2 linked regions of the Kluyveromyces lactis genome follow. The protein of the gene in region 1 interacts with the protein of each later gene in a biochemical or structural test. Links are inferred from orthologs where the notes say so. Each region holds a gene or a part of one and is shown on either strand. Other genes may lie near its edges. The genes, in order: PAN1 and KLLA0_E08405g.

Region 1 (12,728 bases):
CGATAAACTTTCGACTACGCAACCGAATATTGCAACTCCTGACGATCAACGGGGGAGGGCTGTAAATTACAAATATTGTTTAAGAATTGCTCTACGTTCTGATTGAGACTGAGCAGCAGGTTTTCCCTCCTTTATGTCTTGAGAAACAAGGTCATCGGCTTCGATAGACTTTTCTATATATGTGATCAACTTATCTAAGTCGACGGCGGCAGTTGGAATACGAACCATTCCATGATCATCACATACCAAATAATCGCCGGGATTAATTGTCTCCGTAGTGCCATCGCTAATCTTAATCTTCAACTCACAGTTATACGAAATCGGTTTCAAAACTGCTTTTGGAGCACAGGTACCGATACCGTAACTGAAAACGCTGTGATCCAATGCCTTATGCTCTTCGATATCTCTGATTCTACCAAATACAACCGTACCATGGCTGCCTAAATATTTTGCTCTTGTAGACATTAATCCACCGTACATGCCCTGAATAGGTTTGGTATATGGAGCACTGCTCAATTGTAAATCTTCAGTCATACCGATGGTTACGATAGATTCTGCTGGCACATTATCGATGTAATTGACACTGGGTTTATCTTGGGTAGCATTTTTATGCCCGAACAACACAGGAAAAGCCCTACCCACGATAGTCCCAGACCCTGACCTTCTCACCAAATTAGGGAAATATCCACCATTAGTGATTCCATACAAATTCAATAGCCCATCTGAGATGTCACAAGTAGTGAAATGTCTCAACCTTGCAAGATACTCTGACATTCTGCGTGTGGGAATTATAATTCAGCAGCGATCCCGGTAGTGCATAAACTCTGGATTTAACTTCTTTCGAGCGATGGAAAAGTGTTGATAATTTAAAGGTGTTAAAGATTTGAATAAGTTTCTTGAAAGTTCGTTTATATAAGAACAAGAAGACAATTGAAGGTGTTACGCACGAATGGAGGAACCGGAGAAGAATTTGACGGTTACCGAAAAGGAGCTGCAATTTTCTGATAGAAAGGATAAGGAATAACCAATAGAGCTGGTACTTTGCGGTCATTGGGAGGCTGGTTCAACTGTGAATATTTGGAAGTGAAGATCCAATACGATTATCAATTATGAATCAGATAAGGTCGATACAGAAACTTAGTGAAAGGGAGTTGGAATGTGGGATTCTAAAGCCAGAAAGCTCATGGCATCATGAGTATAAAGATCAGGCCTACATAAACTTTGGAGGGATGCACCTCGAATTGACAGAAGCTGATATTCTCACCATATTCTCCCAGTACGGCTGTCCTGTGGACATCAAACTTGTACGCGACCAGACAACTGGAAAATCTAAAGGGTTCGGGTTTCTCAAGTATGAAGATCAAAGATCGACTATACTTGCGGTGGATAACCTAAATGGAGCCAAGGTTTGTGGAAGACTGATACGAGTAGATCATGCTTTTTATAGGCCAAGATCCGATGAAGCTGAGTACGAGGAAGCTGTAAGACAAGAGTTGGAGAAGGATTTCGCAAAAACAGGAGACGTACCGAGTGAACCCATGAAGCAAGAATCGGTGGCTGACCCGTTGGATGAGTTTGCTGATCCAATGGCTGCGTTTCTGAAGAAATGAAATTCACATTCCTAAAGGAACAAGTACGGAGCAGTTCTTTTATGACAACGTAGACTTTTAGTTTCAAATGATATTTATGTACATATCCTGTAACTACTTTTCAATAATTTAGATACATGAATTTACGGACGCGAGAGCATATAACTTATGGCATCGGTGGTGGTGGAGGGATGACCGGCACTGGAGGAGCGGGAGGAGCGGGAGGGATTGCGCCAGTAGGTGCGACAGATACATCTTCAGCACCTGGTGTATGGAACTTATCTTCCTCATCAGAGGCCACCGACTCTGGGATAGATAGTACGTCGGATGCATCATCCGGCTTTGGTTCTTCGTTCTCTGCTAAAGTTGCAGTTCCTCCTACTTTTAGTAAAGGAGCTGCCACAGGAACAGCAGGTGCTACGTCACTGTTTATTTGAGGCAATGGTGGGGCGATAGGTACTGGTGGGGCACCAGACCCTTCAGTAATCGACGTAGGCAATGGAGGTGGAGGTGGGATCAGGGATGATTCGCTTTTAACTAAAGGCAAAGGTGGTGCAATAGGAACAGCGACAGACGATTGTTCTTGAGTGGTTGCAGAAATCTGTGGGAGAGATGGTGCCACAGGAACGGACGCGGTAGATGTAGCAGGAACAGCGGTACTACTGACATCAACAGCTTTGTTGGCTGTAGTATTTACCTTCTCTGTTTCGTCATCATCTGACCATCCGTCACTGTCATCCAAGCCTCGTTGAACCCTTCTCTGCTGTTCAGCTGCCTTCAGATCAAACGAAGATGATTGTGAAGGAGCTTGCTTGAAAAATGGATTTCTGCCACCAGTTGGAGTGTTATTCAATTGTGGGGTACCAGCACCAGAGGCGGGTTTTTGCTGTGTTGCTTCACTCTTGCCAAATGGATTATATTGGTGATGTGATCCGGCTTGTGATTGGTTTCCAGTAGGGTTTGTTGGTGTAGGTTCATCATCCCAGGAGTCATGACCGTTATCATTCTTAGTTTCTGCTGGTGATGAGCTGGTTTGACGCTTGGCTGCTAATCTAGCTTCTTTTTCTTGTTTTTTCTTCAGTTTCAGTTTTTCTAATTGTTCTAACAATCTTCTCTCCTCCTCGTCCTCCTCATCTTCATCATCATCGTCGTTAGCTTTTGGTAGATTGGAGTTGTTTACCGCAGCAGCAGGTTGACTGGGTTGTTGGTAATAGTTAGGTTGCTGTTGCTGCTGTTGCTGCTGCTGCTGCTGCTGCTGCTGCTGCTGTTGAGGCTGTTGTTGCTGAGTCAATTGTGGAGGATTAGGTGATGATTGTGAACTCCCTGATTTCTTTTTGATTCCTAATGCTGCCAATTTTTCTTCCATCTTCTTTTTAGCTTGTTCTTTGACATATGCAGATCTTTCTTCAGGTGTTTGGAAACTTGAGTACGAGTCTTTTTCTTCAGGCGCACGAGCGTTGTTTCTATAGGTTGCTGAAGAAGAGATTTGAATACCGTTGGAGTATCCTGCGGTATTGTAAGAAGAATTATCGAAGTTTCTTCTGTTTTTCCAAGATATGATAAAGTCTCTGACTTCTGGTTCTAGACCGATACCAGATTCCCATTTATCCATTTCGAGGCCCATTGAAGGAGTTCTTCCGTGAATTATAGCTTGCACCGAAGAAGAGATCTCTTGAATCCAGGTACTGATGTTATTGATGGCAGATTGGTTCTTTTGATCATCTTTTTCGATAGTTTCAATTCCTTCGTTGAAATGTTGTGCTTGTGCCTCCAAATTATCGTAATTTGGTTCAGGTCTACCGACTAAAGTACACATTCCTGCAGTCAGGGTCAGTCTTTGCCTTGCATTCTTACAGTCTAACTCAGTGATTTTACAGTTTGGGCCACTACCACGGATTGGATGATCTACCTTCAAGTGGTGCAATGCCAACTGACTTGAAACCAATTCTTTGCTCACATCAGAAATTTCTTTAAAAAGGTTTGGAATTCTGGCTGTCAAAGTATCAAATCTGGATTGTAAATCATGTGGCACAGCATTGTTTGCAGAAGGTGATTTTTTTGAGGTTGAGGGCAACGCTTGAATTTGAGATTTCAAATTTTCAATTGACCGTAATAGATCAGCATTTTCAGACTGCTTTCTTTGCGAGTCATTTTCCAATCTTAATTTTTCCGAGGCAAGCAATTCCTTCTTTTCCCTAATTAAGTTCTTTAAGTTTTCAATCTTCTCCTTATTCTCATTAACCTTCTTAGACTGATCGATTGTCTTTCTACGATTTCTCGAACTTGGCAGTAATTCGTCATCGTTGTTTCTAAATCTCAAACCATCTTCCTTAGTTGGCTGTCTATTATTTTTATCAACACCTTGTTTCAATTGATCTTTGACTGTGTTTAAAATCTTTGTCGAGGATGGAATTAGACTTGGAGGCAACGTATTTGGTAGAACCTCACCGTTCAACCTGCGATAAACTAGATGCATACCAAGTGCGAATTCTTGTTTGTTCAAGTTACCACTATTGTTTGTATCACATAGATTCCAGATATGTTCTAGGTCTGACCTGTTCAAACCAGATTTACGGAAAATTTCAACAGCAGTTGCAGAGTCAAGGTTCCCTGTTTTCTCAACATCATAAGTCTCAAAAATCTTGTAAAACAATGATTTTTCTTCTGGAGTGATGGCCTCTTCCTTTCTTGCAATGAACTTAGAAGCAAGATTAGCTGAAGTGTAAAGATCGTTGTTACCAAATCCTGTCTTCTGAGCTTGAAGTGGCGCAGTTGCTTGAAAATTGGATGGAGGTAAGTATCCAGTAGCTTGTGGTTGCAAAAATCCACCTCCAGTAGCCAAACTTGTCTGCATTGGAGCTTGCTGTGTGAAAGATGTTTGCGGCATTGACCCTGGTGGTGGTATGTTCAAAACAGAGCTAAATCCACCAGTGGTTTGAGCGTTCAACGGTTGATTGAAGGAATTTTGAGGCATGAAACCCGTGGATTGTGGTTGTAAAGCTTGGGAAGTGTTACCAAAAGAAGTCTGAGGTGCTGCTCCATACCCACCAGTTGGTTGCTGAGTCAAACCCTGGAAACTTTGTTGCTGCGGTTGTTGTTGTTGTTGTTGTTGTTGTTGCTGCATCTGCTGAGGCTGACTTCCGAACGATAGCTGTGGCATATAGCCAGTAGGCTGGGGTTGCATCATTGATATTCCAGCAGTCAAGTCATCGAACGGTGTCTTAGGTTTTTGTTCGACTTCCGAATCATTCGAAACACTGAAGTTAATAGCATCAACAAAACTGGAAACCTCCGCCTTGGTTCTCGAATCCAACTCATAAGGAATGGAATCACCTTGCAATACAGAATTGACTAGATACATTGCCAATGCAAATTCTGGGAAGAGAAGCACACCAGCCTTATTAGTATCTGAGAGAGTCCAAATTTTGGCCAATTGATGAGGCTGTAAGCCAGATTTGACCAAGATATTTCTGCACTGGTCACCAGTTATAGTGTTGGAACCAGGAGTGACAACCGATCTAAACAACTTCTCAAATTTGGCCTGATCCTGAGTGGTAATGAAAGACAATCTAATGGCAGGAATCTTCAAAGTGTTGTCAACACCAGTATTCGCGAAGGAATTGATGAAACCGGTGGCGGTTGGCTTCAAAGGTTCCAAAGGCTGCTGCTGAGAATAGAAGCCAGTCTGTTGAGGCTGTAACGGACCTGTTGGTGCATTGACAGCAGTAGTGCTCATCCCTTGATTGAAAGACGTGTTCATTGGCATTTGTTGTTGAGGCTGACCAAAGGATGTTTGCGGCATCATAGAATTGAATCCCGTCAATTGTTGGGTCAGTGGCATTTGTTGTTGCTGATTACCGAATGGTTGTTGCATGCCTTGTTGTGGTTGTGATTGTGGTTGTTGTTGCTGTGGCTGTTGTGGCTGCGCCTGTGTTTGTTGACTGAAACCTGTAGGCTGTTGATTCAAAGCGCCAGCGTTGCTAAAGGTTTGAAATCCACTGAATTGCTGCTGCTGGCCCTGAGTAGGGACCTGTTGTTGATAAAAATTCCCATAACCAGTTGACTGAGGTTGGGCATTGAATTGCTGTTGCCCACCAAATTGCTGCGGCTGCTGGGGCTGCTGCTGGTACTGGTTGTACATAGCAATTAGTAAATGGTTGGTTGACCCTTGAACTCGCTGAGCAATACTGCGATTCGCACCTCCTAAATCAAGATCAAAGTTGTCTTTAAACCCTTTGAATGGGGAATCATTTCAACCAAGAATTTCGTCAAAGTCTCCTATTCGATGATCACAAAATACGAAGAATATCGAAGCGTCAGTGTCAGTGGACGGATACTACAAGAACACTCGAGTCCGAGAGTGATACTGCGTCTATAAAGCAGATTACACCTCGGGGAAACTTCGTGAGCTATCTTCGCATGATTCTGGAGCAAGTTGTGCGGGTATAGGGTACATAATACGGCTGATGTCACTTTAGACATCTGTTTAAAAGTTTAAGTTAAACTACGTAAGTACAGGATGGTGACAGAGGAAGTGTTTTAATGAATACCTCTACTACACCATGACAGTTACACTATGATCAAAATATCAAAAGGCCAGGGGGGTTGGTAAGAACAGGAAAAAAAAAGATCAAGTTAATGGCGTTGGAGATGAAGACACTACTATATTTCCATGTTATCATCAAGTTTGACGTTTGAATTCCAGATATCCGAAACAGATTGTAAACGTGAAATAGTATCGGTATCGAATTTGACTATGGTTCCTACGTTTTCTTTTGCTGTGGCACAATAAGTGTACTGATGACACTCCTTGATTTTTTCCCAGGGATATTGCCCAACATTCGGCGTGATATAACCACTGATAGATAATGAAGAATCATACATTTGCTGTAAGGCAACAGGGTTGCCGTATTTCTCTTGGAAATAGTCAGGGTCGTGGTCGAAATCAGCCACGGCACAGTCTTGTACCTTACACTTCTTCAACCCACCGTTGGACCATAGTAAAGTACCTTCTGTGCTGACGTGAGCCATTTGGGTGCCACATATTTCAAAAGTATCATCAGGCTTGTTTTTAACGGTACCCATGATGGAACCTTCAGTTGGGTATATAGAATATTTCTCTCCGGCGAGCAATTGGCCAAGCCAAAATATTTCTTTATCGCCGTAAACGCATCTTTGAAGCTTACCATCGATATTCATCATAGTTGAGATGAGTAGACTAGATAATTTTTTAACTCGATCAACTACAACTAATCCACTATCTATGTGATGTAGTTGTAAGTTATGGAAGAACTTATAGTATATCTGCTCTTCCATAGATAGAGTATCGATATTGATATTATCATTCTCCACAAGTTCGAGGGGGAAAGTAGATCTATGGCTCATGAAATGGGTTTCTTCTACAGACGGGAAAAGCTTCTTTAATGTATCTGTACAATAAATAAAAGTTTTCTCGCCTATAATATTTCTGTCTCTGAATAACAGCATGCCAGTGTCCTGATAACCTTTGAAATCAAAATAGGATTCAAGACTGGCAAATGACACAGAGTCCGCATCCAGTAGAATACATTCAGAAAAGGTATTGAACAATAATGCCATCCATTTATTTATGAAATAATGGACGTATTGACCAACGAATGAAGCATCGATTAACGGTTCAATATTGACAAAATAAACCTGCTGTGATAATTTTTTTGCGTTTAAGAATGAATGAATGTCGTAAATGAAGGCTTCAGTAAGCTCAGATCCGTTGTGAATAACTTGTATTGGAAGTGTATTATTTAAATTCTCCAAAGTGAGAAGTAACTTCTTGAACTGGTCACCGTGCCTCAGCCCCAATGTCAGTACAATTCCCTTCCCCTCTGCAAAATTATTCCAATTATAGAAGAATGAATAATTATCATCCATTTTCCAGGTGTCTTTACCTTCTAACAATGGGTTACTAAAAGAAGGAATCAACGTCCAAGGATTGACATGTATCATTTTAGGCCACAAATGTCTGAATGGTGTCTTCTTTGAGAGGAAAGGGAATAATCTCGATTCAAGATCGTTTGGCTTCACGACTGATCTCTTGAACACCTTGGATGTGGATAAACCTCCACTGATGAAACAAGAATCATACATCCTTATCCGTTCTAACATAAGCTCTGCCAAGGGGTCATCCAAATTATTGTCGTTATGGAAGTCTTTAATATGATCATTATTCCATGTTGGGTTTATTTCCAATGTTGATTCGAAATAAAAACGGCATTTCTGCTCTAGGGGTAGCGTTGGCCAGTCCAAACCAATCTTATGATACTTATTAGTAGCATGTAGAGCCAACGAAAGCCATTTTCCGAGGTTAAGCGAGCTTGCGAGTCTATAAAATGGAGAGTAAATTAGTGCTCTTTTACCTTCAAAATGTGGAACAGTTGAATTTGGTACTGCTCCGCTTGGTAATAGAAAAGATATAAACAGCAACGTAGTTACAATCCCAAGCACCTTGATGCTAAATATCCTTCTCCAACGAAATTTCATCGCTTCAGGGCCACAAGCATAGTCTCTCGGATTTCTTTCTTGTTTTGAGTGCAGATAGAGTCTCAGCCTCATCGGACAATTTGATTTACTTTGTTTATTCATTACATATTTTAGATTATTTGGCTTGTTAACTGACATTGAATAAACAAAAGATAAAAAAAAACATCACAGACCCCTATCATCGATATAATAGGACCCGAATGTGTATCGTTACAGTATATCAACAAATAACTGCCTTATGCCTTTTCTTTTTTGATATATATATGCTTTATTTATCATTATGCGTATATGCCATGAATGTTCGGCGATTTGATGAATAATTTAAGTTTAGCTTTTAAGGACAGCCCCAACTGGGACATCTCCTCCATGACATGAAATAATGTGCGCTCATTCATACTCTAAATTTTTTTTTGAGGTTGTTAAGCTATTCATGTCTTTAGTTTATGCAAGTTTTGGTAAAAGTCCTTTACCTTTTCATTAACCTTAATTTTATGAGGATCAAAGTTTGTTATTTGTAGTCTATCCTTCGAGACAGCTCTTGATAATGCCACATAAACTTGACCTGATTCAAAGGTCCGTTTCAGGTCTACTTTTAGTCTATCGATAGTTTGACCCTGGGATTTGTGGATGGAAATTGCCCAACATAGCATTAAAGGTAATTGTTTCCTGACAGCAGAATCCTTCTCAGTTTCTCCGACAGAGAATTCTTCTGGTTCAACTAGTTTAATTTGGTATCCTCTGATGTCTTGTTTGTCTATGAATTTCACAACAGGGAACATGATTGTCGATAGAATACCGGGCCCATTTACGATTTTACTTGCTTTATCCAATACGAAGTTAAGAACTTCTTGCCTGTTTGTTGGTCTAAGATTGATATCCCGTTGTAAGTCCGAAGATCTACCAGATGGTGGCACACCAATGGCTCTGCAAACGCATCTCATATCTTGTACAACTTCCGGATCGCTTAGATCAGGGAATATCTTGGATGCTTCCAAGAACAATGCCGAAGTACAGAAAAAGAGGACTCTTCCTAAGGAACCATTGACTAAGGTATCATCGATGTTTTTCAACATCATTACTTGGGCATCCTCCTTCAGTTTGATTTCTTTTTCTGCCATAACGTTGTTAAGAATATTAGAATTGATATTAGGAGGGATAAAATCTACTGCCTTGTAAAGGATTTCATAACCTGGCAACCTCTCTAACCTACGTTTATTGGACAGTTCCACTTCACGTCTCGTTGGGTAAAGTTCGGTTGGTTCAATGCCATCGTCGTATTCCACTGGTGCTTCAAATTTTTTAATTAGTTTAATGGTGTCGCCAGATGTGTTACCCATTCTAATACCGTTCAAAAGATCAATCAATTCATTATCAGTCTGCCTGAACACCTGTTGTAATAGTATGGTTTTGTGGATAGCATATTTCCATACGTTACTCTCAAAGCAAAAGATTGGACCAGCCTTATTTGAATCTCTATCTGGAACAGGTGGAAGCTGGAAAAAATCACCTGTGAAGACCAACTGAATACCACCAAAAGGTTTAGTTCTATTCAATAAACCTCTTCCAATTGCATCCAGTTTATCAAGGAAGTAGCCATCAATCATTGAAATTTCATCCACAATCAAAACTTTAGTTCTCTTCCATCTGTTAAGACTAGTCTTGTTTCTTTTGACCATATTGATAAGTCTATTAGCATCACCTTGGCCAATACCTACACCAGAGAATTTGTTAATTGTAATACCTCCAATATTAACCGCCGCAAGACCTGTGGAAGCAGTGACCGCTACAGCATCTTTCCCATATTTTGCATTAAGCGTCGAGATCATGGTTCTCAATATAACGGACTTACCTGTACCTGCGCTACCTGTATAGAACACATTCAATCTATCTTTGCACACATATTCTATTACTTTCCTCTGCTCTGCAGTTAGTTCAATTCTTCCGTTAATGCTGCTAGATTTGGAGCTCTTGGAACTGGTATGAGAAACGATGGATTGTCTTGGAATCGGCTTTACGCGCTTTACTGAGGAAAGAGATAACGCATTTGAAGATGAAGAACTTTGTGAACCATCTGATACATCAGAATACGTTCTCTTGACTCCTGATAATGTTCTTTCCAGCTTAGGTTTTTGCCAACTAGATTCAGTTGCAGTTGCAGTTGCAGTTGCAGTTGCAGTTGTGGAAGAAAAGTAACCCGATACTGTTGAAGTTTGGGACGAAAAGGAACTACCGGACTGACATTGAAACTGTGACGATGATAGGAACGTTTGAGATGATGGCTTAAAGTTTTTCACTGGTTTCTTTTCTCGTAGCAGACTGTAGAAATCATCATTTGATTCTTCTTCAAACGACCCTTGGGAATGCAAAGACGAAAGCACAGACTGTGTTCTCAATGCTTTCACTGGAGGAGAAACAGTTTTTTCAGTGAAGTGTGAATTAAAACTTGAAGATGATTCTAATGCGGGCTTATTCTTCACTTTGAAGAACATATTCAAGGTGCTCTGTCCATCTTTCTTCTTATTCTTCTTATTAGCATTAAGCTTATTCAGCATTTTATCCAATTAAAAACTGGTAAAAAGGCTACCGCAGCTCGTCCTATTGATTCAAGCAGGTATAAACTAGGTATGGACCAGAGATAGAGCGCTAATAGGGTATTTTTCCTGCTTCATCGATGGATCATGTATCAGTTTCTTACGTGTTTCTCGGTGATTTTGGTTTGTTGACATTTTGGAAATGCGTGTATTATCCGGGTAACAGTTGCTATTATTTGCCAAGCACTGATGCCGTGCTTACAAGGGCCCATCAGCATTGTTTACTGACCCCCATCTGAGATCTATTCCACCAAGTGATGGTACGGAACCCAAATGCTTTTTATTGGTGCTAATAGGGTCAAAGCTCCTCGTAAAACATCAGATCACGTGACTAGCTCGTTTCGCCCATACGAAAAAGAAAAAAAATCAACAAAACTCATCTCACTTAAGAAACGAAACTTAGAGAACAACAAACAACAAACAGTAAACGAGGGGGGCGAGACAAATACCAAAAACAGTCGTTATCAGCGCATCAGAACCAGTCCAGTAGTCATTGATTATAGTTATTGTACGGGTTTGCGTTCTATTTCTTTTCTATTTCATTGATTCTAATAAGTGAATTACAGAGTAAGTTCAGTCTCAAACCTTCTCATCGGTTTGTTTGATTTATTAGATTGCTGTAAGTCATAGAAAATAGCGAGTTATTTCTTTGTCATTTGAACATCGCACATCTACGCACACAGTATCAAGCATAGCTTTACTGTAAGAAATCTCGAGTTTGCATCGAAAGTTAAGCCTACAAATTTATTCACTATCGAAATGTTGAAGTGGATTCAAGGTGGTATTAGTGCCGTCACAGGGATTGCTGAGCCAGAATATGGCCAAGAGTACATTCATCCATGTACTGAAAGAGTTAAGGGTAAGCAGCCATTCCATGTTACTAGTACGAAGGATTTCGAGTGGAGGAATCCAGACTACACGAACGTTGAGACATCAACTTTTTACTTTACTGATCTGGAAACTGGATACACTGGGTTCGCTCAAGTGATCCATTCCAACATCATTGGATTGCATACTACTGCTCAGTTTACTTTCAGGATTTACCACAAGGAAAATACAGATGATCAAATTTGGACATCGGTGAAGTTAGAGAATTTCAGAATAGAGGGAACTAATTTCTACGCTGACAATCTATCTATTGTAATGAACGAAGAAGGTACCGAAGTGCAATTCAAGTCTACCGTGGACGAAAACGTCGAAGTGGATTTCACCATCCGTAGAGCAGTTGACGGTGTCAAAGTCGGTGAAGATCCATCCACTTACTACGGTGACGATGTTACTCAACCTTGGGGTAGTATGAGACATGTTTTCTGGCCAAGAAACCACATATCTGGTAAGATTGCTGCTAAGAATGAGGAAACTAATGTCAAGATCGATTTACAGTTTTCAGAAGAAAAGAAACATTATTCCATGTTCGTTTTCGCTATGCAAGGTATGAAACCACATCATGCTGCCAAATCTTGGACCTTTTTAAACTTCCAATCAGAGGACTACACTGCCGTGCTTATGGAATTCACCACGCCTAAATCATACGCCAACACTACGGTAAATATCGGGATTGTATGTGACACCAAGAACATTTTATCCGTGACAGTAGATAACGATGCTGAATATATCGACCCTGAAGTCGATTCTGTCGGATGGCCTGTACCAAAGGAAATCTCTGTCTCCTTTAACGGTATCAATGCCGACATCAAAGACGATGACGTTGAATCTGCTGATCCATTCAACACTATCGTCAAGGGTAAATTGGATAACCTGGTGGAAAGAGTCGACGTCATGGCTGAGATTCCAACTTTTGTCAAGAACATCGTTTCTGGTGTCGCTGGTACCAAACCGTATATCTACCAGTTTTTCGACGACTTCGAATTAACTATTAAAGACCAGGAATCGAAAGGTTTCGGGTGGTGCGAAATTACTTTCATTTCAGAATCATCTGAAGTGGAAGAATCTGCATACGATGAAAACTAGAACCTTACTCATAAAAAGTGCTTCCCTTCATCAATTTTTAACGTTTTAATATATCACTCTT
Region 2 (12,639 bases), on another chromosome or scaffold:
TTACCTTTTTGTGATCTTTCATGCTCTTTAACAGTTTGTTGCTTGATGTCTTGCTCTCTAGCATTTTGACGTTCTACTTCAATTTGCTTTAGATGCTCTTCATGTTCCACTTGTAGTTGATCTAAGCGCTTGTTGAACTCAGTAACCGTGCCGATATTTTTTCTTGTTTCTTTGCAATACTGTTCAAAGTTTGGCGGAAGCTTAGATCTCAATGCAAGTTCTATCATGACAGGATGCTTTTTTTCTTCGTTCACAAATTTTGATTTGATTTGCCGCCTTGACCTATAAGGAAACAGTTGAGATATTAGATTGAAATCTGTCCCCCACATTGATAACGCCTGATAAAACTTGATCATTTCTTCAATAGTCCATGGATCTGTAAACTGCTGACGACCGTACGTAGCAGAATTGTATAAATTTTCGAATGGATTGTTCTGAATTTTTTCTTTAGATGAATTTTCAAGAGACGCGTTCTTATGTCTGTCGACAACCATAGATTCCTCATCAACAACCATAGATCCATCTGCGGCCATCTTCAATTGAATACCTTGATGGGGTTTCTCATCTGGCACTTCCGTATCAAAAAGATCCTGGGCGGCTTTCTTTCTTTCCTCTTTCAATTGTTTTTCTTCTTCCGTTACTAGTTCATTCAAGGACTTGAACTCTTTTCTAGCCATTTCTCGTAGTTCCCTGCGTTTTCTTCTCCTTTCAATCTTTAGCTTGGCAGCTTCCTTAGCCCTGCTAAAATTCTCAGATATTTCACCTATGGGAAGCGTTGGTTTACATAGGTCCGCCATAGTAAAGTTTTCTTCGTCTATCAAGTATTTGGATGAATCTTTGTCCGCTATTTTCTTTGGAATCATCTTCAAATTGGTAATGGTGTATTTCTGATAAAGATCATCAGTTCTTTGGAAGATATCGTCGCAGTTTTCAGAGTCACCAGCTGGTTTTGCAGTTAATGAATCGTCGTCTGGACTACTCATCCGTGATACTATACTAATCCTTTGAACTTTACCCGGTCCTTTTCCGGTTGAGGATCTTGATGACATTCGTCTCCGCTTAATTGCTTGCAGTGAAGAATCATTCTCCGAATTAACTGTTAAACTCTTCTTTCTCAGTGACCCTGTGGATATACTGGAGAGCCTTCTGCTTCTTTCTGGTACATTTCCCGTATTCAAGGAACCAGGCCCCATGAAACCAGACTTGAAAGTAGGTTTAGTTCCAGAGAGCGAGTCTAGTCTACTAGACCTACGGCGGTTGGTAGCACTTGATACTGTGACAACCGGTATCTGAGTGCTGGTTCTTGATGGGTTCAAATTCTTGACTAAAGTTGTTTGACTTAGTGGATCGTCCTCGTCAACAGTTTCGTTAATTTTGGATTCTTCATCACTTCTTTTTGGCTCCGTATTATCTGTACTAGACTCATTCAGTCCGTCCTCGTTATCGGCTTCATTTTCATGGGAATCTTCAGCAGTAGACTTGGTTATGTCATCGGACACTGGTGGTACCACAGTTGGAGCCGGTGTGGAGTTCAGTATCCGTCTTTCTCTTAATTTAGGAACAAAGCGCTTGGCGCTTTTATTCACAACACTACTCATGGTTGTCAGCTGGGTAGTGTAGCTTCAAAGATTCTTTGTTGTATGTTAGCTACTACCTAATGAATAGTGCATTCATCAAAATATATAGCACTGTCGCCATATTAATGTTTACTATCATATTTATTACAAAATTCCATATTTTCGTCAATCAAACAAGGCACAGTGACATATATCCGGGTAATAAGTGTATATTTTAAATATGCGAAGGCATTAAATAGACTGTTCATGTAAAAGAAGATAATAGCATACACAATATTAATAAGGTTTATAACGGTGTTCTTTCTCCTTCTTGGATTTAGACTTGGATTTTTTATCACTCTTCCTATCTTTTTTCCCATGTTTATTCTTCTTGCTGTGCTTCTTCTCCTTCTTATCTTTCTTTTCTTTATGTTCATCATCACTACCAGTAGAAGTAGAATCCTGTTCAGATGTTGAGGATGATTCGTGCTGCATTGTTTCTTGTCCCATATCCATTTCAATTTCTCTGACAGAGTTTTCAAATGCTGTGAATGGTAGTGTATAATCCCAAAAGTTGTGTGGAACGTTTAAAGAGTTCGTAGTGTCCTTCCATACATTAACGTAACCATCTTCACCACAAGAGTATAGGAGGGAAGTTTGATTTTTTGGAATAAGCACATCTCTTATCACTTCATTTCCGTGTGCATCAGGTATTACCAGGGCACTAGAAACATCAACTTGTTCATTTTGGAATGGTATTATCTTGAGTTCACCTTGACTTTCATGAGTTTTTCCAGTTGCAATGAAAGATGGGTATATATCAATAACATAGTCACAACCCCACTTATCTCTTACGTCTCCAAATTCTAGTGGTTTAGGCTCTATCATTTCATCTGATTTATCGTTCAATTCGTGAATACCAAAAGTTTCCATATGCGACAAACTCCAAATCCTTTTCGGGCCAAGCCATCCACAAGAATGGATGGAAGCAAAGTTGATAACTTGATGTAGTGCATCCTCCTCATCGTCTTGAGTCAAATCATAGATGTTGACGTAACCATCAGTAGACCCACTCATCAGCAAGTTTGAGTCGCATGGATGGAATTTTATATCTGTAATGTCATCATGATGCGAGTCCACAAATGACCGCACAGGTTTAGTCCAGTTTCTTATATCATAAATATGCAATTCAGCATCGTAATCCTTTAGTTCTGTGCCACATGCTAACATATTGTGCCTTGAATCTAATGAGAAGAAGGGAGATGCTTTATCGTTTTGAAGAGACGCAACATTGTTTCGGGCTCTAATATCCCAAACTTTAACACCGTCCTCTGCTGCAGTAGCGAACACAGCACCAGTATCAAAATCGGAGTTTATAACTTTCATATCGTTGATGGAGGTTGTATGGCATTGAATACTGGATATGGTTTTCAAGTTGCCCCAATCCAATAAATGCACTGAGCCGTCACTTATCGATGTCATCAATCCATGTTGATATAGAGGTTGCAATTTCAAGCACCAGTTGTTTTCTTCAAAGTAGCGACATTTGTATTTGTTGAAGGACATTGTGGGACTTCGCACCGTGACTGGTTATAGTGCAGTAGACTTTAACAAACTAGTTTACTCGATGGGATGAGATGAATCTTTTCTACCTCTAATCAAAAATAATAGCTTTAACTACTGAAAAAGAAAGATTCATGTTCGAAGGTGGAAGGAAATGGTAAAAAGAATGGTTCCTAGCGGGATCGAACCGCTGATCCCCGCGTTATTAGCACGGTGCCTTAACCAACTGGGCCAAGGAACCAGATCTTATGGTTTTTCGTATATTTTTCCAAACTCATGGCGCATGGTGGCGAGACCGCTCAGGAACAATAATCGAGTAGCTACCAATCTAATTGACGGATAAGTAGCAATATGTTACATAGACATGCAGCTAATAACAAATATCGATTCATCTGATTCTGAAGATCCAGATCTGGTGGCACGTGACTGAAATGGTTAGATAAAAAACATCAACATCTTGACATCTCACAGGCTGAAGAGAACCATATATTCCATCACTTTTTTTTAAGCCACATTATTCCAAATTAATGTTTATTAGCATAGGAGGCCTTAGCAAAACCACAAGGCCACCGCTGTAACTATTCCCTGCTGAGAAACTTTTCTCCACAAAAAATAAGGGCACAAGTAAGCACCAGGGTCCAAGACTTGCCTTCACCTATTGTTCCTTTTTCCTTGCAGTTGTTATCACTCTTTTTAGGGACCCGCCCCTATTAACATTTTCCAATGTTGACAAAAAAATCAGGCTTGAACATTGAAAATGGAAGTCAGTTTTTTTTTCATATAAAAAATTATAGATTTGGTAAATTAAGTGCTATTCAATGAGGTTTACAGCGTTGAGCAGGGCAACAAGAAGCATAGTAGTTCCACCAAGCTACGGGGTTTTATCCTTACATTTATTTTTTTTGCATTTCATAGTTCATCCAAGTGGTGCACTTTTATCAATTGTGAGTTTTGCATTATTTTTTTTTACTTCATTCTGCCTGGACAAATTTCCATCAATTTGCTTATATACTTTTGTGCTATAGGTCACAGTACAAGAGAGCACGTAGGAAAGACGGCATTTGCAAAAGTTTTCTCGAAGGTTAACCCATTTGTGTTGGCGTTATACGCTTACTGTATTTTAACTGCTGGCTTTTCTCTTTTTCTTTGCATTCTGAATTCACATCTATATGGATCTTTAAAATGAATCAGCCGCAAATTGAGAAATACGCATCGGGTACCATATTGCCTGTTGGATCGCATCAGGTGAAGGTTTTGAAATATCTCGCGAGCGGTGGGTTCGCGCATGTATATTCCGTTGAAATTAGCCCGCCAGATCCGGTATGCCCAGATAATGTAGCATGTTTAAAGAGAGTTGTTGTTCCTGACAAAGCAAGTCTTAACACATTGAGGGCGGAAGTGGATTCAATGAAGGCTCTTAGAGGCAACAAATTCATTGTTTCGTATATCGATTCACATGCCACTAAGTCTCCGGTTAACGTAGGAATGTATGAAGTGTACTTGCTTATGGAATACTGTTCTGGCGGTGGGCTTATCGATTTCATGAATACCAGATTGCAGAATAGACTTCAAGAGTTTGAGATTCTCAATATCATGAGTCAAGTGAGTCAAGGTGTTGCTGCTATGCATGCTCTGCAACCACCATTGATCCATAGAGATATTAAGATTGAGAATGTCTTGCTCTCGAAAAATCATGAATTTAAGCTTTGTGATTTCGGATCAGTGTCTGGTGTCATTCGAGCGCCAAGAAATACAGAGGAGTTTAACTATGTCCAGTACGATATAATGAAAAATACAACGGCGCAGTACAGATGTCCAGAAATGATCGACTTATACCGTGGTTTACCGATAGACGAGAAGTCTGATATTTGGGCATTGGGTGTCTTCCTGTACAAAACATGCTATTATACTACGCCGTTCGAGAAAAATGGGGAATCTGCCATCTTAGCATCTAAATTCGAGTTCCCAGCCTATCCACGTTATTCTGATAGAGTGAAAAATTTGATAAGTGTCATGTTACGTGTAGATCCTCTGAAACGTCCGAATATTTGTCAAGTGGTAGAAGAGGTTTCACGTATTCAAGGCATTCCATGTCCAATCAAAAACTTTTATCTGTTAAGAATGATGGATAAACAGGAACAACCAAGGGTGTCGCCACCTCCTCATGTGCCACAGATGACTGTGCCGGCAACTGTGCCAACTTCTGTTTCAACTCAGCATCTGCCCCCCCAAGTTGTATCAAACGTACAGACTCCATCGAAAACTGCATCTATTCAGCACTTGCCTTATTTGCATGTGTCTAAGAGTCAACCTATGGTCACACAGCAGGATTTACTCTCACAAAAGCAACCTGCAGGAAAAACAGTTCCTCAGACGGTTTCAAACTACACAAGTTCAGATCCATTCTCCAAAATTGATAGATCTGCTCTTTTGTCTACTTCTGCTACAATGGAATCACTACCGAGGGCAATGAGAATACCACAACTAGAATATCAACAGCCTCATCTTCTGACAAGATCGCAATCAGTAGTGCCTAGAGCCTCTGTGAGTCCAGTAAGAAATGGTAGAGGTGCCATTTCAAGTATCTTGGCATCAAACAGAACATCCTTAGATAGACCAAAGTATGTGGACTCTGAAACTCAAACCAGCGATCATCCATCAGAACTGGGTCTTTCACGATCTCTGTCTAGAAAATCAGTCGCATCATCTCTGTCTTCTGCGGAATCCTTGGAAGCTACCTCAACTGGCGGTAGCTTGACTCGTAAAATAGGTTCTAAGATGAAAAAAGTTATCACCGGAGAGAAGAGGGGCTTTTCAACCATTAGAAGTGCACAAAATACCGGTGAAAGCGTAAAATCCGCATTTAACGCATTAAGAAAGGGAATTTCCTCAATGCAGTTCACTGGTGATAGCAGTTCCAGAAAATCATCTTTAGAAGCAAGAAAGTATAGAAGTACTTCAGGCAAATCCATTCCTGAAAATACTTCTTCTAACACCAAATCCCATAGGCGGTCCACCAGCTCGTTTTCCTTCGTTCCGGAAAATAATGACTATGAATTGATCGAAGATATACAAAAGGAGAAACCAAAATCATCACTGAGAAGATCCTCTTCCTTGAAAACTTCATCTTCGATCCAGAAGCGCGTTAAAGATCTAATCAATGCAGATGATATACCCAATCGCTCTTCTGCCACTGGATACGGGAAATATACTGATATTGGGAGGAAAACCGATATATCTGACCACCATAAATCCAATGCAAATCGTAAATCAAGTACAGTGATCACTCCTGTGCATGAGGCTCCTAAATCCAAACCAGCACCGCCACCCAAACCAGCTCATTTGAAGCCAAATCTTCCACCTAAGCCTAAACACCTAAAGGCAAAATCTTTCAGAACAAGCCCAGCAAAATCCGAAGTTAAAGAGCAGGATTCCGATCAAGATTCTGTGGGTAGCCCTTTCCAATCTCGAAAAGAAATGAAAGAGTTTGAAAGAAGATTTCCAAGTGCATTATAGAATACTTTTAAAATTACATATATCTTTATAATGATATTCTAATTATTCCGATTCACTCCATTCTTCGAAAGAATCCAATATGAAATCAGTTGCTTCTTCAAAACGTTCATCGAATATGTTTGTCATTCCGTCACAATCTGCCTTCAAAACTCTACCATACTTCTTTCTTAACTTCTTATTTTCGTTGGCCGTACTACCCCAACAAGAATGTGTGCTACTTGTGAATACCAAGGAATTCTTGAAATACCAATCTCCTAACGTTTCGTCAATTAATGGCACCATTACTTTAAGAGGTTTTTTGTCTAAAAATGATATTGCACATTTTACCACTGACCTGGTATCCCTATGGCCTAATAAATGGACAATGCCTCCGTAGGCATCTCCAATGCCGATAAATGCCACCTTTTGTAGATTTTGGAAGAATTTCAAGTAGTTATCCCATAAATATATCAGAATCTCTTGTGATGACGCAACACCTGGGTAGTTGGCATGTTCAAAGAGTGTTTGAGGTATATTTATGTCAATTATTCCATATCTTCTATCCATTGCCCAATTGATCATCTTCAAAGCATTGTCGACGATAATTGAACTAGAAGGATCAATAATTCCTGTCTGTGTGTCACGTTCAGACCAAATCTCTGGTGTGTCATGCACGATCACCACAAGTGTTTCAGAGTCTTGGATACCTGAGGTGCATAGCATAGTATTTGCTGGTAAATTCAAATCAAGAATTGGAAGTTGAACAAAGTTGAATTGTGATGAGAGCTGTGAAACTTGGTATTCTCTAATAGCATTTTGTAAAGGGAAATTCCTTGTGTCCAATGTTGAAGTTATAGCATCCTTGAAATTGATCCCGTCATTTCCATGTCTGTTCTTAAAGCAAGACCAATACTTTGACTGCGTTCTGATGACTGTTTCGATCATTTTTTTTGCCTCTGGAGTTGGTTGCTTTTTAGGAGCAGGCAATTCATCTGGTGGTTCTCCGACCAACACCTTACAAACACCAAGCGCCGACTTAGCTATAGAATCCAAATTGTACCCACCTTCTAAGACAACACACAAGTTTCCTTTAGCCAACGAAAGTAGCATATGGGTCATGTGACCGTAACAAGCAGGAGTAACATGGCATTGGCCGATAGTGTCACCATCGGCTGCATCAAAACCAGATGAAATAAGGACCAAATCCGGTTCAAACTCGCGACCCATTGGCATGATAACTTGTTCAAAAGCCCACATGTATTCAGCATCACCAACACCGCCTGTTGGCCACGTTATATTACAATTGAAACCTTCACCTTTCCCTTCGCCGGTTTGGTCATAGTTTCCATGGATAGTACCTGGGTAATACTTGCCTAATTGATACCTGTGAAGAGATACATATAAAACTCTATCATCGTCATAGAAGGCCTTTTGAGTTCCGTTACCATGATGGATATCCCAATCAACGATCATGATTTTACGAACACTTTCAGGATACGATTTGAGCATATTTGCAGCAGCGACGGCTACGTTACTGAACAAACAAAAACCACCAGCAATTTCAGGTTCAGCGTGATGACCAGGTGGCCTTACTACAGCTATTGAGTTTTTCACTCTTCCCTCGACGACAGCCTTACATGCTTCGATAGCACCACCGCATGAAAGTTTGGCACTAAGATACGAGTCATTATTGAAATACACGGAATCTCCACCCTCAGTCTCCTTGAGTAAACTTTCACGTTCGAGCTGTTCTGTCTGTGATATGAAATCCAAATGCTGTCTTGAATGGACTTGCAAAATTTCTTCCTCTTCAGCTTCACGTACGGGAACCTTCACCATTAGATCTCCGATCGAATCTGCACCACTCAAAGTTGGGTCCTGAATCAATCCATTCTCCGCTAGGATCTTGTAAACACGGTAGATACGGCGGGGGTCCTCTGGATGTGGATCGATGTATTCGAAGTAAGACGTGAAGATCTTAGCATGATAACGCATCCTCACATCATAACAGATCCCGGTTTTCAAAAGACTATATCTAATCTTTGGCTTCGTTGGTGGAACAATGACAGGCCGTTGAGATTCATCTTTACTGGGCAGAGTATATGCAGTACCCTCATTTTTAATTTCCTTGATGCTGGGCCTTTCCAGCGGCTCTTCAGCCGGTTTTTTACTTTCCATGTTCCGAATATATTATGGAAAGGTAACCACGATAATGTTGAATGACAGGCAATGGCAAAAGGGATACCGTAACTAGCTTTCAATGGGAAACGGTCTACTAGAAATGAATGATACAACCACAAATTACGTAACTCCAATGCACGCTTAATTCCCTAGAGCGCCTTTTTACCTTCTAATCGTGAGGAAAGGCTAAAAGTCCACTGAAAATGGCGGAAAAGCTGTGAGAGAACTCTCTTCGTTCGGATTATCTCTCGAAATTTTACTGGCCAAAAAAGTTGTTTTGTGTTCAGATACCGTCAGAATCGTTTGATTGACCTTGGTTATATGGACGTAGCTGTCTTGCACAGGATCTGGTACTCAGAAGATCCGTATGAAGATCAGCTGTTTCACATATGGTTCCATGAGCGCAGGAAATTGTTGATGTTTTAAAGTTCCAATATTTACAGAAAACCAAACTGAGGTGACAATAGAAAAGAAATTATTTTTCAACATCGGACTCTTCAAGTACTGAAAATTGAAAATGTATAATACGTATGAAGAAACATGTAACAAGAGCTCATCGCGATGAGGTATAGAATAGACGTAATATAGTTACGTGTTAGAACTGATTTTGCTGGATCTGTGGTACAAGCTATACAGCGCTATTTCATTGGATTTTCATTTTAACTTCATTGTGATTCGAGATGGAATTCTACCGTGATGCAACCTGGGTATTGGAATTCGTGGAACAGGAGCTCTCTAAAGACAAGAGAGTTGCAGGTTCGTTACAGACCTTGGTACTTACTAGTTGTAAAAGATATAAGCTGAAGACAAATCCTCGTCACATTTATGCCATTGTTAGTAGTACATGGCAGTATAGGGAATATCTAGATAAAATCATTAAGAAGAGCGGGATCTTGGAGGACGTACCGAAAAAGAAAGGGAAACCGCTGTTCAATAAGGATACCATAAGGCTCCTAGTACACGACCTTTTACTTTCAAAATCGAAGCGGATTCAGATGGGTAAGCATCCTATCAAAACTTTCATTTTGAAGCATCAGACTAGGTTAAAGGCTGAGTTGACAAAGCTCAAAGTTAAACTTAAAGTCACCAGTCTGTCGCAGTTAATCAAAACCGATGATGGAGAAGATGTTACACCGGTTCGTTGGATCAGAATTAACCCTATCCTTGTCAAGGAAAGATATGACGATGTTCTTGCTGAATTAAACAAGAAATTCCCACAAAGAGTGAACTCTTGGAAACAAATCGTTCCTGGGAGCATATATTACGATGAGTATATTCCAAACTTGTTTGGCATTCATCCAGGTGATAAGATCACTTCGCATGAGCAATATAAGAGGGGGAAAATTATCATTCAAGACAGGGCATCCTGTTTCCCCGCCCACATCCTCAATCCAAACAGTACTGACGTTGTTATCGATGCATGTGCGGCTCCCGGCAATAAAACCACACACGTTGCGGCACATATCTTTGGAGACGTTGACACCAAGGTCGATTCAGTCAAGATACATGCTTTTGAGAAGGATCCTGAGCGTGCAAAAACTTTACAGATGATGGTTGCCACCGCGGGTTGTGCTAAGGGGGTCAAGATACATGTTGGTGATTTCACAAAACTTGGTAAACCAGAACTTTTCCAGAATGTAACTGGATTCATCGTTGATCCAAGTTGTTCTGGCTCTGGTATATTTGGCCGTAAGGCAATTGATAAAGTAAACTTGAGCAAGACTGGGTCATCAAACACCGATGAAGATCAGACCTCGGTTGAACCTGTGGAGCAAGAAAAAGAATTGTTTGAAAAGGAACAAGATTTGAAGAATAGATTAGCCAAATTATCATCTTTCCAATACCAAATTGTGAAACACGCCATGTCTTTCCCATCTGCTAAGAAAATATGCTATAGTACTTGTTCTATTCATGCTGAAGAAAACGAAAGAGTTGTCATTGATTTGCTCTTAGACTCAAAGGTCAAGGAATGGGGTTGGAAAGTAAGAAAGAGAACCGGTGTAATTCCAACATGGCCTAGAAGAGGATGGACCAGTGAATTTGAAGAGGTGTTTCCGAAAGAGGAAGCAAAAGAGTTGGCAGAAGGGTGCATCAGGGCTTTACCGAAGGAAGATGGTGGCATTGGCTTTTTCGCCGTATGCTTTGAGCGAGATTAGTAAAAGTCCATTAGTTCTATATCCACTGTCCATGATAAAATAAATATCGAATCATAGCAAAGTTATTGGCGTAACAAACGTAGAAATATATTCATTATATATTAATTAATTAATCTAATTTAGATAGAACATCCTCCAACACTTGTTGGGTGGTGGAGTTACCACCAAGATCTGGTGTCAAGTATTTACCCTCTCTGATGTTGGCATCAACAGCTTTGTGGATATCCTTTGCCGGTTCTGGGTAACCCAAAAATTCCAACATCAATGCAGTGGATCTGATGGTGGCAATTGGATTAGAAATACCTTTACCAGCGATATCAGGGGCAGAGCCATGACATGGTTCACCAATAACGATGTTTGGACCAACATTGGCAGATGGAACAACACCCAAGGAGCCAACTAGGGCAGCAGCACCATCAGAAAGAATGTCACCGTACAAGTTTGGTGCAACAACAACGTCGAAACATTCTGGTTCTCTGAACATTCTGTAAACCATGGAATCGACGATTTGTTCATTATATTGGACACCTCCGTACTTGTCCTTGTTAGCTTCATAAGTTTCTCTGCATACCTCTCTGAAAAGACCATCAGATTGTGAAAGAACATTGGATTTGTGAGTAACTGTTAAAGTGGCATGACCGTTCTGTTCCAATCTCTGTTGAGCGATTTGTAGAGCGATAGTAGCAATGTTTTTGGTTGCTATTTCGGTAATTCTCTTGGTAGCATCTGCAACTCTGGTTCCGGTGGCTTCATCGATGTATGACTTTTCCAATTTAATGTATAAATCTTCAGTGTTTTCTCTAACGATGACTAGGTCAACTTTTCTGTCCTTAGTACCATCAACAGATTTAACAGGACGAACGTTAGCGAAAAGTCCCAAATTCTTTCTTAGGGCAACGATTGGAGAAGAGTAACCTTCAACCTTAGTCGTTGGTGATTGCACAGCACCAAATAAAGCACCTTCACATTGGTTCTTCAAGATATCAATGGTTTCGTCAGGGAGTGCCTTACCGGTGTTTTGGAAGGTTTCCCAACCAGCTTGCAAATCAATGAATTTAAACGATAGACCGTACTTTGGGTTCAATGATTCTAAGATCTTCTTACCAGCAGGAATAACTTCTTTACCAATACCATCACCTGGAATTAAACCAATTGTTAAATTCTTCGCATTGGAAGCGTAAGCACGACGGGACAATTGAATGAAACGTGTTCTCATCATATTGAATGGTTGTTATATAGCGAAATGAAACAATTCGCTGCTTGATCTTCGGGACAAGTAGTTCGATAACCTTAAAACAAAGTAAAATGTGATGGTTTTCACAGAATCAACTACAGCTGCAATCCAATCCAAATCGTAACACTGGGGTGTATTTATAGTTTACAGGTTATTCAGTTTCCTGTAACTCATATTTCTTTCAATGATCCCAATGACTGGTTGATGAAATTTCGAATTTCCACAGGAATTTATCTGCGATTCATTGGGAAACTGAAAACTCCCTTTCGAGCATTTTGAAAGTAGTCAGGTGACTAAACGATAGATAACCGTATGCCTTCACGTAATACATAAACATATATGTTGACACATCAAGGAGGACTTCTAGATCTGATGTTGCAGCATATAGCATTGCTAGTTCGATATCGATGGGATTTTGTCGTCAGTACAGGTTTTAGGTTATACGGATTTTGGT

Evidence for each region.
Region 2: of the proteins of PAN1 (region 1) and KLLA0_E08405g, one has a biochemical effect on the other in vitro, tested with the Saccharomyces cerevisiae proteins (4 studies listed by BioGRID). The link is inferred for Kluyveromyces lactis from reciprocal best matches to the Saccharomyces cerevisiae genes PAN1 and PRK1.

Annotation. Positions count from the first base shown.
Region 1 is NC_006040.1:1,146,373-1,159,100, reverse strand, and holds PAN1 (actin cytoskeleton-regulatory complex protein PAN1), read right to left. Parts: upstream 5,731-12,728; coding exon 1,756-5,730; downstream 1-1,755. Other genes in the region: KLLA0_D13442g (bifunctional 4-hydroxy-4-methyl-2-oxoglutarate aldolase/oxaloacetate decarboxylase), read right to left, coding at 67-774; U2 snRNP complex subunit IST3, read left to right, coding at 1,110-1,610; KLLA0_D13376g (alpha-mannosyltransferase), read right to left, coding at 6,252-8,243; RRM3 (DNA helicase), read right to left, coding at 8,534-10,657; SVF1 (Svf1p), read left to right, coding at 11,456-12,667.
Region 2 is NC_006041.1:750,201-762,839, reverse strand, and holds KLLA0_E08405g (Ark/Prk/Nak family serine/threonine-protein kinase), read left to right. Parts: upstream 1-4,301; coding exon 4,302-6,635; downstream 6,636-12,639. Other genes in the region: transcription factor TFIIIB subunit BDP1, read right to left, coding at 1-1,598; KLLA0_E08449g (uncharacterized protein), read right to left, coding at 1,854-3,122; histone deacetylase HDA1, read right to left, coding at 6,678-8,792; rRNA (cytosine-C5-)-methyltransferase RCM1, read left to right, coding at 9,476-10,951; LYS12 (homoisocitrate dehydrogenase), read right to left, coding at 11,061-12,170. UniProt on the Saccharomyces cerevisiae protein: Protein kinase involved in the regulation of actin cytoskeleton organization and endocytosis. Phosphorylates PAN1 which disrupts the interaction between PAN1 and END3, and between PAN1 and SLA1. Phosphorylates SCD5.